2 linked regions of the Schizosaccharomyces pombe genome follow. Changing the gene in region 2 together with the main gene of any one other region gives a genetic interaction. Each region holds a gene or a part of one and is shown on either strand. Other genes may lie near its edges.

What was found. A genetic interaction does not mean that the proteins touch.
Region 1: mutations in prp28 (region 2) and sol1 together harm fitness more than expected from each alone (negative genetic interaction), as found in Schizosaccharomyces pombe (one large-scale study listed by BioGRID).

The regions. Positions count from the first base shown.
Region 1 is NC_003423.3:1,307,143-1,316,077, reverse strand, and holds sol1 (SWI/SNF complex subunit Sol1), read left to right. Parts: upstream 1-4,275; 5' UTR 4,276-4,353; coding exon 4,354-6,951; 3' UTR 6,952-7,006; downstream 7,007-8,935. Other genes in the region: karyopherin/importin beta family nuclear export signal receptor Kap109, read right to left, coding at 1-2,740, 2,790-2,847.
Region 2 is NC_003421.2:854,106-862,380, forward strand, and holds prp28 (U5 snRNP-associated protein Prp28), read left to right. Parts: upstream 1-2,911; 5' UTR 2,912-3,047; coding exon 3,048-5,036; 3' UTR 5,037-5,187; downstream 5,188-8,275. Other genes in the region: dolichol kinase Sec59, read right to left, coding at 546-1,821, 1,879-2,117; proteasome core particle subunit beta 3 Pup3, read right to left, coding at 5,674-6,288; SPOM_SPCC63.13 (DNAJ (Hsp40) chaperone family protein), read left to right, coding at 7,461-8,087. UniProt on the Schizosaccharomyces pombe protein: ATP-dependent RNA helicase involved in mRNA splicing. May destabilize the U1/5'-splice site duplex to permit an effective competition for the 5'-splice site by the U6 snRNA, resulting in the switch between U1 and U6 at the 5'-splice site.

The DNA.
Region 1 (8,935 bases), on a different chromosome or scaffold from region 2:
ATTTCCGTAGCACAATACTGCTTAAGGTCAGTAATTTGAGGGAATGGATCAACCCTCTTTCCGCCAGTAGTAGCCAATCTGGAAAAGGAAGCTTGGAATGACATCGAATCAGCATCGATTTCGTCCATAAACAATTCTTCATCTGCATCTGTTTGAGCTTGTTCAATAGGCATTTCGAATAATTTGAGGATACAAGTTAATAATGGGATAATAAGATTCTCATAAATTGCGTCTGGGGCGAGTACTAGATCACAAGTAAGAAGTCGCAGTAATCCAAGAGCACTGATTTTCCTATCTAATGGAAGCGCCAATTTTTGTGCTTGAGGAAGAATAATTGAAGTCATCAATTGGCCAAATACTCCAGACTGGACTGCATCAACACCTTGGATCAAATTATCTGGGCCGCAAGTACCCGTTTGCTCAGAAGCAACAAAAAAGAAGAAAATCGTGCATCGCAGAACGAAACGCTCAGTCCTCGAGTTTTTTAATCTGCTTAACAGCAAAAAGAATATGTGGTTGATATAAGGCGCAAGTATGTTAGCATTGAAAACTGTGAAAACTCGGTCCAAGAGATCAAACCCAAAATGATCATTAACCTTTGAAGAAATCAATTTTTGGAAAATTCCCAAAACCGGTTCAACAAACTTATTGGAAATAAATATCTGAGGACCACGAAATATCATTGCCCGTAATAGGCGAACTAAGGCAGGTATATTACCCTTTGAATCCCATAAAGCTGGAGATAAACACGGCTGTATGAGATTGACAACAAAGTCAGGAAGAGGTTCATTGCCACTAGCTTCAACTAATTGAGATAGCAGTTGTAGGACATACGGAATAAACTCAGTAACATCTTCTATAAGCACATTTTGAAAGACTGGAAGTAGGGCATTTTCCAGTTGAGAGACGGTTTGGGGACCAGATTTAGATAAACTACGAATAAGTGCACCAATAGATTCGAAGAGATAGTGGTTAAATTTTGGATTGGAAGGATTCTTGCTAACCTCTTCCGTAATTTTTGTGAGGTGCTGAAGAAGAAGGCTAGCAGCTGGAAGAATGGCTTCTTGAGACATAATAATAATTCGCATTACTGCTTTCATTAGATAATCATTTTCGGCAAGTTTTTGTGGTGTGGATGCAGATTCCACAATTAGGAAAAGTTGATTTAGAGCGGGTAATATGTGTGGAGCAATTAGTAAACTTGTAAAGATATGAACATGATTATGACGAACAGTCAGCAACTGATCTAATGCTATTGCAGCGTATGTGTAAACGACAAAGCTGGGCATTTCCAAAAAGCGTAAAATTGTAGGGAAAATGTCAATAAGCTGTTGGGAATTTAGCTGGTTGCGAAATGTAAATACATATTTAATATCCTCGGCAAGAACCATGGGATGAATGACGCCAGCAGGTTGTAAAAGATCCGGCTTAATATTATTCTCGAAAAAAGCAACAACGTCTACCATCAAATTAATAGATGTAACGCCGAGTCTTGTGGATTGACCCTTTATAGCAATAGCCGAAAAGAGCTGAAGCGCTACGTATTTTTTATTCCATTCAAGAGAAGGATTTGTTGAGAATTGTTGAAGATTAGCATTGATGTGAGTTGAGACTACACTCGTAATTTTTTGATCAAAGTGATCCAAAAGTCCACGAACAAGAACGATTGCGGATCTGGCGCGAGAATCACTGTTCGAACCTTCAAGATCACGGCGGACATATTCTAAAGGATCGTCTTCAAATAATTCTTCATCAGATTCCCGCAAACATATATTAGGAAGAACGACGAGTTCAATGAATTGTTGTAAAACTTGGTCTTGCTGGAAAAACTCGGCATGCTTGCGAATTCTAATGACGGATGTCAAAAATGCCATAGCCTTACCAACTAAACCATCGTATTTTTCATCAGGAGTCAAGGTTGTCAAAAGTGTCCATGTTACGTTGACGAAGTCATACAACATGGTAAACACCTCTTCGTATCGAAGGGTATATAGCTCGACGATTTCACAAATACTTGCTTTAACTTTAATAAGGACATTTGTCTCTCCTTCGTCACCCTCCAAGCTGGGGTTAGTGTAGGTAAAGTAGTTTAAGAAGGCGGTCATGAATTCGCTCATATGATCTTCAAAGAATTCCGGAATGTCTTGGCAATTCAAATCATAAAAAAGTTTACACTCCAAAAGGATAACCTGAAATAAACTGTTAAGAGACTCTGCATCTTGTGGACCGTTACGCAATAAGTTGTTGGTTTGCACGAAGAGAGCGAGAAATGGTTCGCAAAAACGATCCAACACATATTTGATCTCCAAAAAAAGTGCATCGCTACGGAATAAAGGTCTCCAGCGCTTAAAAATCGCATGTGCAGTAGAAAGTACAGCAATATTCGTGTTCATGTCAACAGCAGACAATTTAGATATCAGATCGGGGAGAAGAGTGTCCCACCGATCAGGGAAATCAAAGTTGGCAATATAACCAATTACTTCACCTAGCTGAACTTGAATAATGGTAGTACTTTTCAGCATCAAGTTGATTATTTCGCGTTTGATCAATTCTGCCACCTCATCGCTGATACGAATAGAAGCACCTTCCTCAGAATCCCAATGTTTTTTAATGTAATTTTTGAAATACAATGAAGCGGCCAGCTTAATATTGATGTCTACTGTATCCTCAGCGACAATATTGAGGAGTTTTAGTGCAAAAGAACTATCTTGTAATTCCCATACTTTCAGTGCTTCCTCAGCTATATCAGTTAGTAAATTTGCTTTATCCACTCTGTTGGGGTATCTTACCACTTTTGGAAGTCGTAGGGTTTAATGTTCTCGCAAGAAGAGTTGGAATGTCATCCATAGTTTTCCTACAGGGATTGTGGTTAAGGGCAGATTTTGAAGGACACCGACGTAACTAGAACAATTTCTCTAACATCGTTATAGAGAATTTTTAATTCCGGTTTTATTTATTAAATAATTTTCTCTTAAGTTTGATATAGTTAACATCTTTTAATTAGTTTGTTTGCTTCTTTTTCAGGCTTGTTAATGTAATACTTTTCTTCGCTTAATTTTTGTTTTTTTTTCTATTAAAACACCCTAATATACCAATATTTGTAAATAAATAGTTGGACTATACTTGATAAATTACTTAAAAAAGGAATTAAAACTAATAAAATCTATAATTCATTATCAATAATTCAAGGGTTCACATTTTAATTATCAGCTTGTAAATACCTAATTTCCGAATTACTTGGTTTTAGTTTGCAAGCTCATTAAACATTTTATGAACCGTCAGAATAGAAATCGCTTTATACGTGGACTTGAAAGTTGTGTTAGTTGACTTTTGTTTCAAATCTAATTCTTGTTTATGCCATCAAATTCTACATGTGCAATATAGCATCTCCATCTTTATCTCAAATACTACAAACCTTTTTTTATTGTAGTATTTAGTTTTTTTCCTTCTTGAATCGGATATTCCTTTTGCGAGTTGACTTGAAACCATAGATTTGCAAAAGTAAATAATTAAGTCATAAACATATATATTTTACACGTACAAGCCCTTGTCCATAGAGTTCAACAACCTAAATCCAATTGCTTGATAATAGAAATTACCATATTCTACTATCTTGTTTCATTCATCAATAGGTTTACACATATGAAAGCACGTTTATAGAAAACAATGAAATTTATAAAATGACATTGCGTCGAGTCTTATGTAGCCAGAAAGAAAGAAGGAAAAATAATGAATAAAAAATAAAAAAAAGGTTAGACCAGATAAATTTGAATTAATGTGTCAATTTTGATTGCTCCTTTCAAAAAAAAAAAAAAAAAAAAAAGAAAGAAAAGGAGGATAACGGGATCTCGAATATGTTAACTCATATGCTTTTACTATTTTAAAAAAAAAAAAAATAATTTATTAAAAAAATATCTGTTTCCGCAAGAAGAAGATGTTGTACTCGTGATTGTTTACAGTTTCGCCAAGTCTACTAACAGAGCAAGTTAATAAATATTGTTTCTATTACAAGAGGAATAAGATATTATTTTGTTTTTAAAATTTTAGATACCTGACTAATCGATAAATGCTTCCCAATGCTAACAATTGTCATTGACTTGGAAATAAGAGACACTGCAAAGGCAAGAAATCACGTTTGCGAGATTTAAAGGAATGAGTGTAAAGATTTTTTAGGAATTTAAGCATTTTCTGAAACACACAGATTAGGTTCTTAAAGGCAGCACTAAACAACTCGTTATATGCACTTCGTCTGCTTTTCAAGCACTTTCAGCTGCCAAGCGCCTTAGACGTTAATATATTGAAACGTGTATTTTAAGGTCCCTTTACTCTTTGTTTGATTTAGTATGAGGAATCATGAATAATCAAGGGTTTGTTCCTGCGAGTGATTATCCAACCGCAGTATCATATCCCACGCAAGGTCAAAGTTATAATACTCAGGAAGAACAACCTGCGTATCCTCAACGCTTTTCGACAAGCCAAGGGATGTATGCAGCAGAATATGGAAATGCAAACATGATGAATACTTCCGAGAATGAGCCTAACAATTTGGCTCATTCACAGCCCTTCCGACAATCTCCATCAACTCAACGTAATTTGCCAAATCAATCATTTGATTTCGCCTCTAACGGTGCATGGAATGGCTCTGGATCTGTGAAATACTCTAGTCCCATGATGCCTTCAAGTCGGATCCCGTTTCAACAAGAAAAAGAGGCTGCAATGCAGCAGCAACAACAACAGCAACAGCAGCAACAACTTTATCAACGACAAATGCAAAGCAGAGAGGCCTTACTCTCTCAACAAATTCCTCCTAATCAAATTGGCATCAATGCCCACCCAGCTGTAAGACAAACTCCTCAACCTGCACCTTCCCCAAATACTCCCTCTGGTAATGCTAATCAACTAACGCCTGCTTATGCTGCTAGTTTTGACAAATTCATGGTTAGCCTTATTTCTTTTATGGAAAAGCGGGGGACGCCAATCAAATCTTATCCTCAAATAAATAATACGCCTATTAATTTAATGATGCTGTACGCCTTGGTTATGCGTGCCGGTGGATCTCGACAAGTCTCAGCTCATAATTTTTGGCCAAAAATTTCTGCTTCCTTGGGGTTTCCATCTCCTGATGCTATTTCCCTTCTAATTCAATATTACAATTCCTATCTGCTTCCATATGAAGAAGCATGGCTTGCTGCTCAACAGCAACAAAAATCACTTCAACAAGCAAAAGCTAATCATTCTGCGAATGTTCAAAGCAGACCAAAAAACTATCCACAAAAGCCGGTCCAAACCACCCCAGAAGCTGTACATGCCAATGGTTCTATGCATGGATCACTTCACTCAAAGTCACCCTCCCCAGCATTCACCGCTAATCGTTTCTCTCCAGCTGCTCCTACCACAGTTAGTTCTGAAAGAAATGCTCCACCATACCCTTCTGCTCCGACTCGACCCACTCCGCCCACCGTTCAAACTTCTTCTTCGGCAGCTCCTGTTGATTCTGCCGAACCCGTTGCTTATCAACCGATAAAAAAGCCCATCGATCCTATGTTGGGTTATCCCTTGAATGTCGCGGCCACGTATAGGCTCGATGAATCTTTGCTTCGGCTTCAGATGCCTTCAATCGTAGATCTGGGGACTGTAAACATTCAAGCCTTGTGCATGAGCCTGCAATCTACTTTGGAAAAAGAAATAACGTATGCAATGAACGTTTTACTTATATTAACAAATGATCAAAAATGGATGTTTCCGTTAAGTGAGTGCCAGGATGTAGTTGATGCGTTGATTGACGTTGCAACTCAGTGCCTTGATAATCTGCTATCTGTTCTTCCTAATGAGGATTTAATGGAAATCGCCGATAAACGTCCTTCTTATAGACAACTTCTTTACAATTGTTGCGTAGAGATATCGCAGTTCTCCAGAGAAGACTTTTCAAATTCACTAAGCGAAAACAAAACAAAAGATAGCATCAATGCTATTGATGTTCATAATTCGGAGCAAAATTTGTTAGCTGTTTTCGTTATTTTTAGAAATCTCTCTCACTTTGAGGCCAACCAAAACGTTTTGGTACAAAATCCAGATTTTTTTCCTCTACTCATTCGTGTAGTCAAAAGTCTTAATTTTCATGCCACTTCCCTTCTACGTTCATCAAGAAATACCTTGGATTTGCATAAAGATGTATTAATCGTACTTTGTCAACTTTCTCAAAATTTCATTCTACCGAATGTCGACGTTGCTCGTCACGTTTTACTATTTATTTTGTCTTTTTCTCCATTTAACAGAAAGAAGAGTAAAACTATTTTAAATGACACCCTTCCAACCTCTATACCTAGTTACACACCTGCTACCCATCCCTATGCTGGTCCCGCCATTAATGCCTATGCCAAATTACTAGCCAAAGATGCTAACAACAAGACAAACTTTCAAGCTATTTTTGATAACAATCCAAAATTTTTAGACTCCCTTTTTCTACTTCTTGCTTCTGTTGTCCCAAAATTTAACCGCCACTGCCTTAAAATATGCGAGCGAAGGTTACCCTTATTGCAGCAGTCATTTTTTTGTTTAGCAGCTACCGTTTCCTATGTTAAACAATCGGAACAAGCGGCAAATTGGTGTAATATAGGCGAGGGATTTTTTGTTTCCATGTTACGCCTACTCATACTATTATCAGGTCATCCTTCCCTTAATCCACCATCACGTGTAGCATCGCAGTATCCTACTACGAATCCTTTTCGTTATGTGATTCAGAGTGGCATATCTACGGTGCGTCGACTTTTGAGCTTAGTGGAAGCTGGAAATATTTCATTATCTTCTTTCCCCAAAAGTGAAACTCTCCTCGCTGTTTTGCTGGCTCCTACAACAGAAACCTCGTTTCTAAAAGAGATCTCAAATTTATTGGATCGAACTGGGGACAGTGATGCGTCTTTAGAAAATACGGATGATAAATCTGGCATTTAATTTGTAGATAATTTTCCAAACGTTTAATATTTTTGTCTTCATTCTAGTTAATCTGATGCGTTTCTGTATGTATATTGTCTAAACATGCTTTCAAATTTTTAGAGATGATTTATTTACTTTATAGAAAGACTACTTAACCTATGTAGAGTTAATTGCCATTCTACGCATTGCAACAATTTTATTAAGAGTATTTTCAAGCAATTCTAAATAGACTGAATTCAATAAATCAACCAGACTACAATTTCCATCACAACAAGAAAAAGTTTAACTACTCTATATTGGAGAACATGATAATCAACCTTTATCACCACTACAACTACAAGCCAAACACAACACAAAAAAATTTAATTAAAAAAAAAAAAAGGAAAAATTTGCAAGATCAACATCAGACATCCAAAGGAAGGACTATGCACGACATCTGCGGCAAAATTGGGTTCGTATGCCGCTCCGGGGAAACTGCGAATGTTCAATGGAAATTTCATCACCTGTTGATCAATGCAAAAAAAAACCTTCGCCGAACAATCCAAAAAGCAATACAGCACTATATATGTTTATAACTAAAAGGATGTAAAGTCCAATCTCCACCATAACTCGTACGTACAGGAGTAGCTACACGAAAAACACACATTATTTTCACCATACAGAACATACACGTTTAGTTCGCGAGTTTAAGCATAGCAAGAAATTTGAAAGTTTCGCACAAATACACCTAAAAAAGAAGTTAGTACACTGAAAGATTATACACAATACAGAGATTACTAAGATACTGGAACAACGAAAACAATTCAGACATCGAAGATACTGGCAAGTATGGTCTCCACCTATAGTGGAGACAAAGTTATCGTCATAGTCGATAGGACGGGTAAAGAAGACATAATAATATCATCAGAACAGCTTCGTTGTACTCAGACATCAATCAGCATACGGCGAACATACCTTTACAAACAAGTTTAACAAGGCACTTAAAGAACGACAAAGATTCAGTTTGAGTTCAAGGTTTCAGTATGCGTACGGGATTTACCCCCTACTAAGCTTTAACACCCAGTTAATCTCAAACTATAGTCAAAAAGATACCACAGCAAGCGCAAAAAGGAATATGGTAGGTTTTTCTACCAACACAGTACCAATTACTGCACCAAGATGACTTAATCCCAGAAAAACAATAAAGCAACCATACACGACAGACATACTGTACAATCAAACGACTAGAATCAGACTAGAATCTCTCCAAAAAATACAACACAGATACAGGCGAACGCTTTCCAAGAGCCTGAAGGAGAACCATCCTAATATCAATAAATGTAACACACAAAATACAAGCCATTTACGATAAGAACCTAAGCCTTTCAACATCAGATAATCAATCAATAAACCTCTTGTCTCCACTACTTTGGCGTCCTAGCATATTAATTTGATGTGGCTCCTTCAGACTCATGGAAGTAGAACGTTGGCTTATGAAGGCGTCTGATCGGTATATATACCTTTTAAAACCCTAACCCTGCTTCATCCTCAAATTTCTGGAAGGATGTGAGTGGTTGGGGAAGAAGTGTGTAGCAACCGTTGACATCGCTTGTGTCCAAATATGCACTTTTGCGCATTACGGTGGTGAGGTTTGCAGTACGGTATATGGACAGAACGTTTTAGAAAGTAGCAAGTTGGAGTAATGTAACAAACTATAACAAAACAACTCTACAACACTTTTAAATTCGATATGTGTTTATAACATATTAAAACGCGAAAAATGGAAGTACATTAAATAGGACAGCGAGATTTTTATTTTTCTTTATTCATCGTTATATGTTTTCTTTTCACAACCAAGAACACACTTTACAGTTCTCATCTAGAAAATCATGTGTTGAGTAATCTATTAAAAATTTCACAACTCTTCGACACAAAATTTTTTTATACCTAAAAAATCAATGATAAATGACCGTAAAAGAATTACCTGCTTTTCCTTTTCTTTGAAACTAACTCTCGTTTCATA
Region 2 (8,275 bases):
CGTTTCGAAGCAACCTATTCTACTTAAAATTGTGCCACGATATCCGCTCAGATACTCGTTGTTATACATTTCTCAATAAATGAATATTTTGATCTTCCTAAATATGCGAACTGTAATAGTCAATTACCTTTAAATATATGACTGATTGAATAGCAAAACTATATATACATATATTTTGTAATATCATTTTTACCGAAATTTATAGTCCGTTTTAGTTTTATTCGTTTCATAGTCACATCTGCCATCTTTTTTTTGCTCACGTTGGTTTTTTGTAAACAGTATTCTCAGTGGATGCTGTTGTTAAGGTGATTATGATTTAATGATAGGCCTGGCAATACGTAAAATTTTTCTTTTTATTTTATTAAAGGAAATCTATTTACGTCGAATTAGTAACAAAGAGAATATGCAAAGAATTACATCTTTGGTTTATTTTTTCATATATAAGCACATATATGTATTTTTCTTTTGTTTGTCATTTGCAAAGCATCAGAGTTATGAGATATTTTACTTTGATGTTGCAAAATATTTTATGGAATTAAACATTCTTAATCCAAGGCTTGATACAATACCCACATGTACATTGGAAGTATGAGATTGTCATTCTCCGTTGAGACACCTTCCAAAATGGCCGTACATAAGGACATAAACAGCGTTTTCCAAAACGTTACTGAAGGACACACATGAAAAGCTTGCGTCAAGTGTAAAACGAGAAACACTGAGATTGAAAAGGCAAATACCCCCTCAATACTTTTATTCGTTTTTGAGATCCTATGTTTTCCGAACCTTTTCCCAATTATGCTAGCCATAGAATCTCCACACCCTAAACATAAAACACCAACCAGTAATTCAACCGACGCAACAGGACCTTTTAAAGCATTCGAAAGCCAAATAGGAATTGCACAACCAATTAAAAGATATATATGGGAAATAATCAAGGGGCCCTTGTGATCCCTGTTATCGGTATACTCCCATAAAAATTCATGGATCATTTTTCCAAATGGCTTAAGACGAAGTATGCGTATACCTTCAACAAACAGAAATATGAATAAAACTCCCGAAAAAGACAGGTGGAGAAAATGAGGATCTAAGCAACAAACCGGAAGAAATAAAAAGACAACCAAAGCATGATATGTCTTTCTACGAAAGTTCAGCACTTCATCTTCAGTGGTAAAGTATTTGCCAAGTGGATTATTACGGTTGCTTCGCAGAAGAATAAAAATAAAACAACCAAGGCAAATTATCCACCAAATAATTATTTTAATCCTCGTTAGGGAATTCCTATGCGAAAAAATTTGGTTGAACAACCATACTTCAGGTGCTTGTCCAAGTTGCCCAGCAACCCATGACCTGGACACTAAAAATACGAGCAAAGCGCTAAAGAAATAAATTAAACAAGTAGTAAAGAGTGCCGATAAATGTAATTTAGCAGCAAGCTTTAATATGCAAAGGTTTAACAAAATGAGTGTAGGTAAGGAAATGAGTAAAACTCCCGATAGCACTGAAACTACAGGAGATACTTCATACGAAAATGTAGCAAAACAAAGACCTGTAAGTCCGGTACAAATTAAAATGCCTTCAATGAAGGTAAAACTGTTTTGTGTAATTTCAAGAAAGGCAAGGATGACCGTTTCGTGAAGTTTTAAATTAACACTCGAATTACCCAGTCCATCTAAAACAATAGAGAGCCATTTCCATCTTTGTGTTAAGGACAAAAGAGCGTTGTAAAGACATACCGTGTACATCTCATGATACAAGACAGAGTTTTCTCCAAAGCCGACATAGAGGATACAAAAGGGAAACGATGATAACCACAATAACGGCCTAAATAATGAGTTAGTTGACTTAAGTTTAAAAATTTAATTGTTCGTAAAATCGTACTCATATAGCTGGATTATGCTAGACGAACCCAATAAATAAAAGCATGCAGGTAAAAAAAAGGACGCATTTGAAATTTGGAGGAACTTTTTGCCAGAGTTGCATAAGAAAGGAATGAATAAAACTGAAAATATTTCCAAAATACTTTCAAAATTCCGATGTTGATAATTCACTTCAACACATTCTTGCTCACGATCAATCTTTTCCGACGTATCATAACATTTTTTCGACATTATATACATTAAAAATCAACAAACAGTTAGCCAACAGAAATGATGTTTTTCATTAACAGAGGATTTGCTAAATAGCAACAATTGCAAAAAATCGTTAGATTGCTAAGTACTCTTATAACCAAAACATCAGATTCTCAAGTATTTTTATTAGGAAAGCGTTTTTTAAATGTTTAAGAATTAACAACCTCCAGTAATTTCAACTTTAATCGGTTTAGAGGAAAGCGTTTGTAGGAGGTGTTGATATTACCAGTAAAGTACTATATGGAGACAACTGTTACATCGAATATTACGATCAAGATTCATTTCAATAAGAAAATTGAGGATTTGTTTATATCTTGAAGATAAACTAATTTCTCTCTCTCATTAAGTACTACAATAAGTTGAGAACATTGAAATATTGAAACTGTCAGCCTAGTAGTAAAACGTTGATTTGAAAGAATGATCATAGTTTGTTTGAATGAATTTCATAAACTTGTTGAAATAAGAGTAAAAAGAATTAAATGAATTTGTAAAACAATTGGGATTTATAAAGCAATTTAATGCGCCTTTTCTAGCAGCCAAATGGGTTTCCCAGTCAATTTTTAGAACAATTTCTGTAAGTAACCAGAAATGCCTTCAAATTCACTAGAATCTATATCGTTTTTATTACAAAGAATGAACATTCTTTAATGTAAAATGAACCTTGATAAAAATGAGCCATTTATTTACATTGGATTTTTAAAACATATATTGAATTACGATGAGTTTGGCAACCACGCTATACTGCAGGTATATTTAAAACACGATTTTGTCATTTGCATAACACCAACACGTTCATTGAAGGATTGTTTAGTTTAAAGACAGGTCTATTCATTTCTTTTGTATTATTTGGGATTGATATCCTAGAAAAATAGAAGAATTGTGAGTATCGTAAAAGTCTTTTTCTTTTGAAGCGTGTTCATGACAGCGCAAGACTCTATACCTTCGCTGGAGCAGCTTGTTCAGCAAAAAAGAGTTAAGGAAGAGAAGGCGGCGAGACCAAAGTTTTTATCCAAAGCTGAAAGAGCTCGATTGGCCCTTGAAAGACGACAAAAAGAGGTTGAAGAAGCGAAAGCAAAACAGAATGACAAATTATTAGATTTAAGAAAAAGGACTTTTACCAATCATTTAGAAAATAATGAATTAGCAGATGATGAAAAAAAATCCCAGGTATCCTCTGTATCTAGCAATAACAGTGGCACAGAGAGCTCCGCAACGGACGAAGCATTCAGCATGACCATTCGTCAAAGGTACATGGGTATAAAGCCTCCTGTGGTAAAAAAAAGAAGAAGAAATGCTGATAAAAAATTTGTATTTGATTGGGACGCCACAGACGATACCATGAAGGATGCGGAAACCTCGGCATCACCTGAGGCTACAATTGCTGTATTTGGAAGGGGGAAATTAGGCGGATTTGATGACCAGTCGATTCGAAAAGCGAAAAGTAATTCTGGTTTGATTCAGCGTTTGCTTCAAGGAACGGAGCAGGATAAGGCTCGCGCACACGAGTTGATTCAGCTTCAAGAAAAACGAGCCAAAAAAATAGATTGGGACGATGTGCCATGGAGGGAAAAGCCATTGGAAGCCATGAAACCCAGAGACTGGAGAATCCTCAAGGAAGATTATAATATATCCATTAAAGGGGATGATTTACCAAATCCTTTAAGAAATTGGGAAGAAGCAGGCTTACCAAGTGAGATGCTTAAAGTTTTGAAGAAAGTTAACTATAAAGAACCAAGTTCTATTCAAAGGGCAGCCATACCTGTTTTACTACAGCGTAAAGATTTAATTGGAATTGCCGAAACTGGTAGTGGTAAGACTGCCGCCTTTATAATCCCTCTCATAATTGCCATATCAAAATTGCCCCCATTAACCGAATCAAACATGCATCTTGGCCCATATGCTGTAGTTTTAGCACCAACACGTGAATTGGCCCAGCAAATTCAAGTGGAAGGCAACAAGTTTGCGGAACCTTTGGGTTTCCGGTGTGTTTCTGTCGTTGGTGGTCATGCTTTTGAAGAGCAATCATTTCAAATGAGTCAAGGTGCTCATATAGTTGTAGCTACTCCTGGTCGTCTTCTTGATTGTCTTGAAAGACGGCTATTTGTTCTCAGCCAATGCACTTATGTTGTAATGGACGAGGCGGATAGGATGCTTGACATGGGATTTGAAGATGATGTTAATAAAATTTTGTCATCACTCCCTTCCTCAAATGCTTCTGAAAAGGATGGGTCAATTCTTGCTACTGCAAATTCCTCTTCGTCAAGACGTCAAACCATTATGTTCAGTGCGACCTTACCCCCACGTGTTGCTAATTTGGCAAAGAGCTATTTAATTGAACCAGTGATGTTAACTATTGGAAACATTGGCCAGGCAGTTGACCGCGTTGAACAGCGTGTTGAGATGATATCTGACGATAGCAAAAAATGGAGAAGAGTTGAGGAGATTTTGGAATCTAATCGATTTTCACCTCCTATTATCATATTTGTAAATCTCAAGCGTAATATCGAGGCTATTGCGAAGCAATTAAATGCCATTGGTTGGCATGCTGTTACTCTTCATGGCAGTAAAAGTCAAGAACAGAGAGAGCGAGCTATCGAACAGTTAAGGAATAAGACGGCTGATATTCTTGTTGCAACTGACATTGCAGGTCGTGGTATTGATATACCTAATGTCTCTTTGGTATTGAATTACAACATGGCTAAAAGCATTGAAGACTATACCCATAGAATTGGTCGTACAGGTCGTGCAGGAAAATCTGGTACAGCAATAACGTTTTTGGGACCAGAGGATACTGATGTATATTATGATTTACGCGTGTTATTAAGCCGAAGCGCGAAAGCACATATTCCTGATGAATTACGGAATCATGAAGCAGCATTTGTTAGACATGCAGCAATCACCCAGTAAATATTGTCTTTGGAGCATAACATTGAATGGGCACTTTATAATGGCCTTTTTGTACGTTACACTATGCTGAAATATGATTTAGTGATTTATTATAAAGTTTTCTTGTATATAAACAGTTTCTAATTTAATGACTTCAACAATTGAAAAAGTTAGTTTATTTCTTAAATCCTTGTAAGTGTGCTTACAGCAAGCAATCCTTAGTCTTAGTCTACTGCATGTACGAAAATTATTTACAAGCATCTATGCATTGTGTGTATTTAATGGATAAAATTTCGCACTAATAAAACGTACAGAAGAAAGTACACCCTGCTTGTATACGATAAGAGTTTTACTTGTACAATAACCATTTAGGAAAATTTTGATTATTGAAAATGCTCACAAGCTAAAAGAAAGGATGACAGTTCAAGCTCGGATATCCACAAAGGCTGAGCAAAAAAAGGCGAGTATAATCGTTATCATATTGCTACGAACAACTTCATTGAAGTTTCCATTCCGAAGGGATTGTCAGAAACTGGTCTAAATCATGCCTCATGAAAAAATGTATCCTAATTTAATTTTTTAAAATTTCGTAGCAAGACTTACATTAAAATGATGAAAGAATCTAGATGAAAACGAAAGATCGTAATCGTGAAAGTGCTTAATCTTGGCGACCCTTAACAAGTCGTTTGATACATTTGTCTGCGGTGATAACATAAACGACACAGCCCCATCCACTAATACAATCACGATCTTGGGCGTTAAGTAAAGCTTGGGAGATAGTCTCAAAGAGATCGTCAGGCTCTAAATTGGGCTCGTATACAGACTCACACATACCATAAAGTTGTTCTGTAGCGGTTCCAGAAACGATGAAATCCTCTGCAAAATCGATGCATCCAATGGAATCGAATCCACAGATAAACGGGGTATTGTCATTAGATACACCAGCAACTACTGGGAATGAGAAATAGGGACCAAATCTTTTTTCGTAAAGGGTGGAAGAAACCAAATTAGCAAATGTCTTGGGTTGAATTTGACGCTCTTCGCGGAATTTGTAAAGGTTCACTTTGTACCGAAATAACTCATAAAGCGTCTGAACATCCGTAGCAAGACCCGTCAGTCCCAAATACGTTTTGTCACCCATCGCAAACACCTTAGGAAAGTTGTTGGTCAAAGAAATTGACTGAACACCCAACCGCAAGTCCGATGCAATAGCCACGCAGTTTTTACCTGCCATGGCTACGCATGAACCACCATTATATTCCATAATACTCATTTTGTAGGATTCACTGTTTGTATGAGGAAAGGTTCTTGCTGACAAAAGAAGCACACGAATAACCACAGATGATATGTTATCGCGAGCGCACAATAACCAAATACCGTATTGGATAGGATGCGATAGTTTGATTTACCGTATGTTTAGCGATGCAAGGAGTATATCGTATTACTAGAGCCCTTCCTTTAAAAAATCACTATTGACTTTTTACGATATCCATAATAAAGAGGTATAAGAAGTGAAAATGATAGATCGTAAAGTTCACAATAAAAAGGTGTTCAGAGGTATCACTTAGACTATTGAATAATATTTAATGAGAGAAGAATAAGTCTCCCTGAAATAGCTTCCTCTAACGAGAATGTTGGAATGGCACTAGTGCTGCTACGCTTTGGCTGTGCCATACTGCCACGTCGTAGTCTGTGCATTACCGAGCGATCACATTTTAAAGGAATATCAAGCGAACTTCAATCTAACTACTTTGGCACCACCAGCGTAGCAAATATCTTCAACAACCATTTCATCAGTCTCTGCGATCTAGCAACAGCAAGATAGCTTGAGAAGGAATAACGGCGCACATGCTCGACATACCCTTGTAAAAACTCAATAAACCGATCATTTCATTTTATCAGTGTACATTAAACTGCGTTAGCTGCGCTTTAGAAGAAAGTAGTCTAAGAGAATTAAAAGTAAATAATGCCATATAGCTAACTCGATGAAGGATTGTTAGGACTGTAATCATACAACCATACAAATGCAAGAAATATCGCTATAGCGGGAAAGACAAAAATTGGGTTAAAAAAGGTATTTTTAACCGTTCTTTTGTTGTTTATTCAAAGTCATCTTTATCAAGGACTCTAAATCCAAAAGATATAAATAAACATCCGGAAGTGAAAAATTTGACTTGAGCTTCCTTTCAATCCTATTTGCCAAAGAAATTCCCATACTTTGTCTTCTTTCTATCCAACACTCCGATAAGATATCGCACATAACATCGCTAATTAGCATAACACAAATTAACCTATCGGTATCTATATAACGTGGTATAACCCGTCCCTATGCGATATACCACGTTTATTAAGTTCGTTATTCAGCACACCGAATTTTGCACCACTGCGATATTTGAGAGGCTCATATTGCTGAAATCGTGTGGTATACGTATTCCTCCAACTACCATGTTCAAAGACTACTATGCCATTCTCAACATCACCCCCAAAGCCAGTGCTGAGGAGATAAAATATGCGTATAAAAAGGCTGCTCTGGAGACGCACCCTGATAGAGTATCGCCCAGTGCTCGTGCTCGAGCCACTGAACAATTTCAGCTGGTGAACGAAGCATACTACGTCTTAAGTGACAATTCTCGACGAGCTCAGTACGATCGTGAAAGTGCCTCTTCCTCTGCTAAACCAAGACAATCGTTTTTTTCCCGCACAAACCCTCAACCCCAAAGTCAGAGTCAACAAGGAGGGCCAAGTTTTGGATTTCGCCAATCCTTTTCCGATTCGCAATTCGAGCAGGTGTTCAACGAAATGATGAATGAGACATCGACCAGAGGCATTGCCAATGCCTTTTGGACCATCGTAGGTACGTTAGCTGGTGCGGCGTTGGGATTTATCACGTTTGATGTGCCTGGTGTTCTTGTAGGCTCGGCTGCCGGTGCTAAACTTGGGCGAATTCGTGACACCCATGGAAAAAGCGCTTACAGCGTCTTTCAAGACATGCCTGCAGTAGAAAAAGCTCGCATATTAACCCAATTCCTCTCCCATCTCCTTAATTCTTCCAAGCAGTTCACCTCCTCCTAAACGCGTCTTTTTGTTTACGTGTCGCAAAATTTATTAAATCAGTTACGCGTCGCGCTTTCCAGCACTGTCCACATTTGGTCCAATCAGTCGCAGCCCGTCCCTTTCTCCCATGCATTTTCGGCTCGTCCATCAGAGCGAGTTCGTTGATGTCATGTGATGTCATGTTTTGCAATGATGATGTAACTACT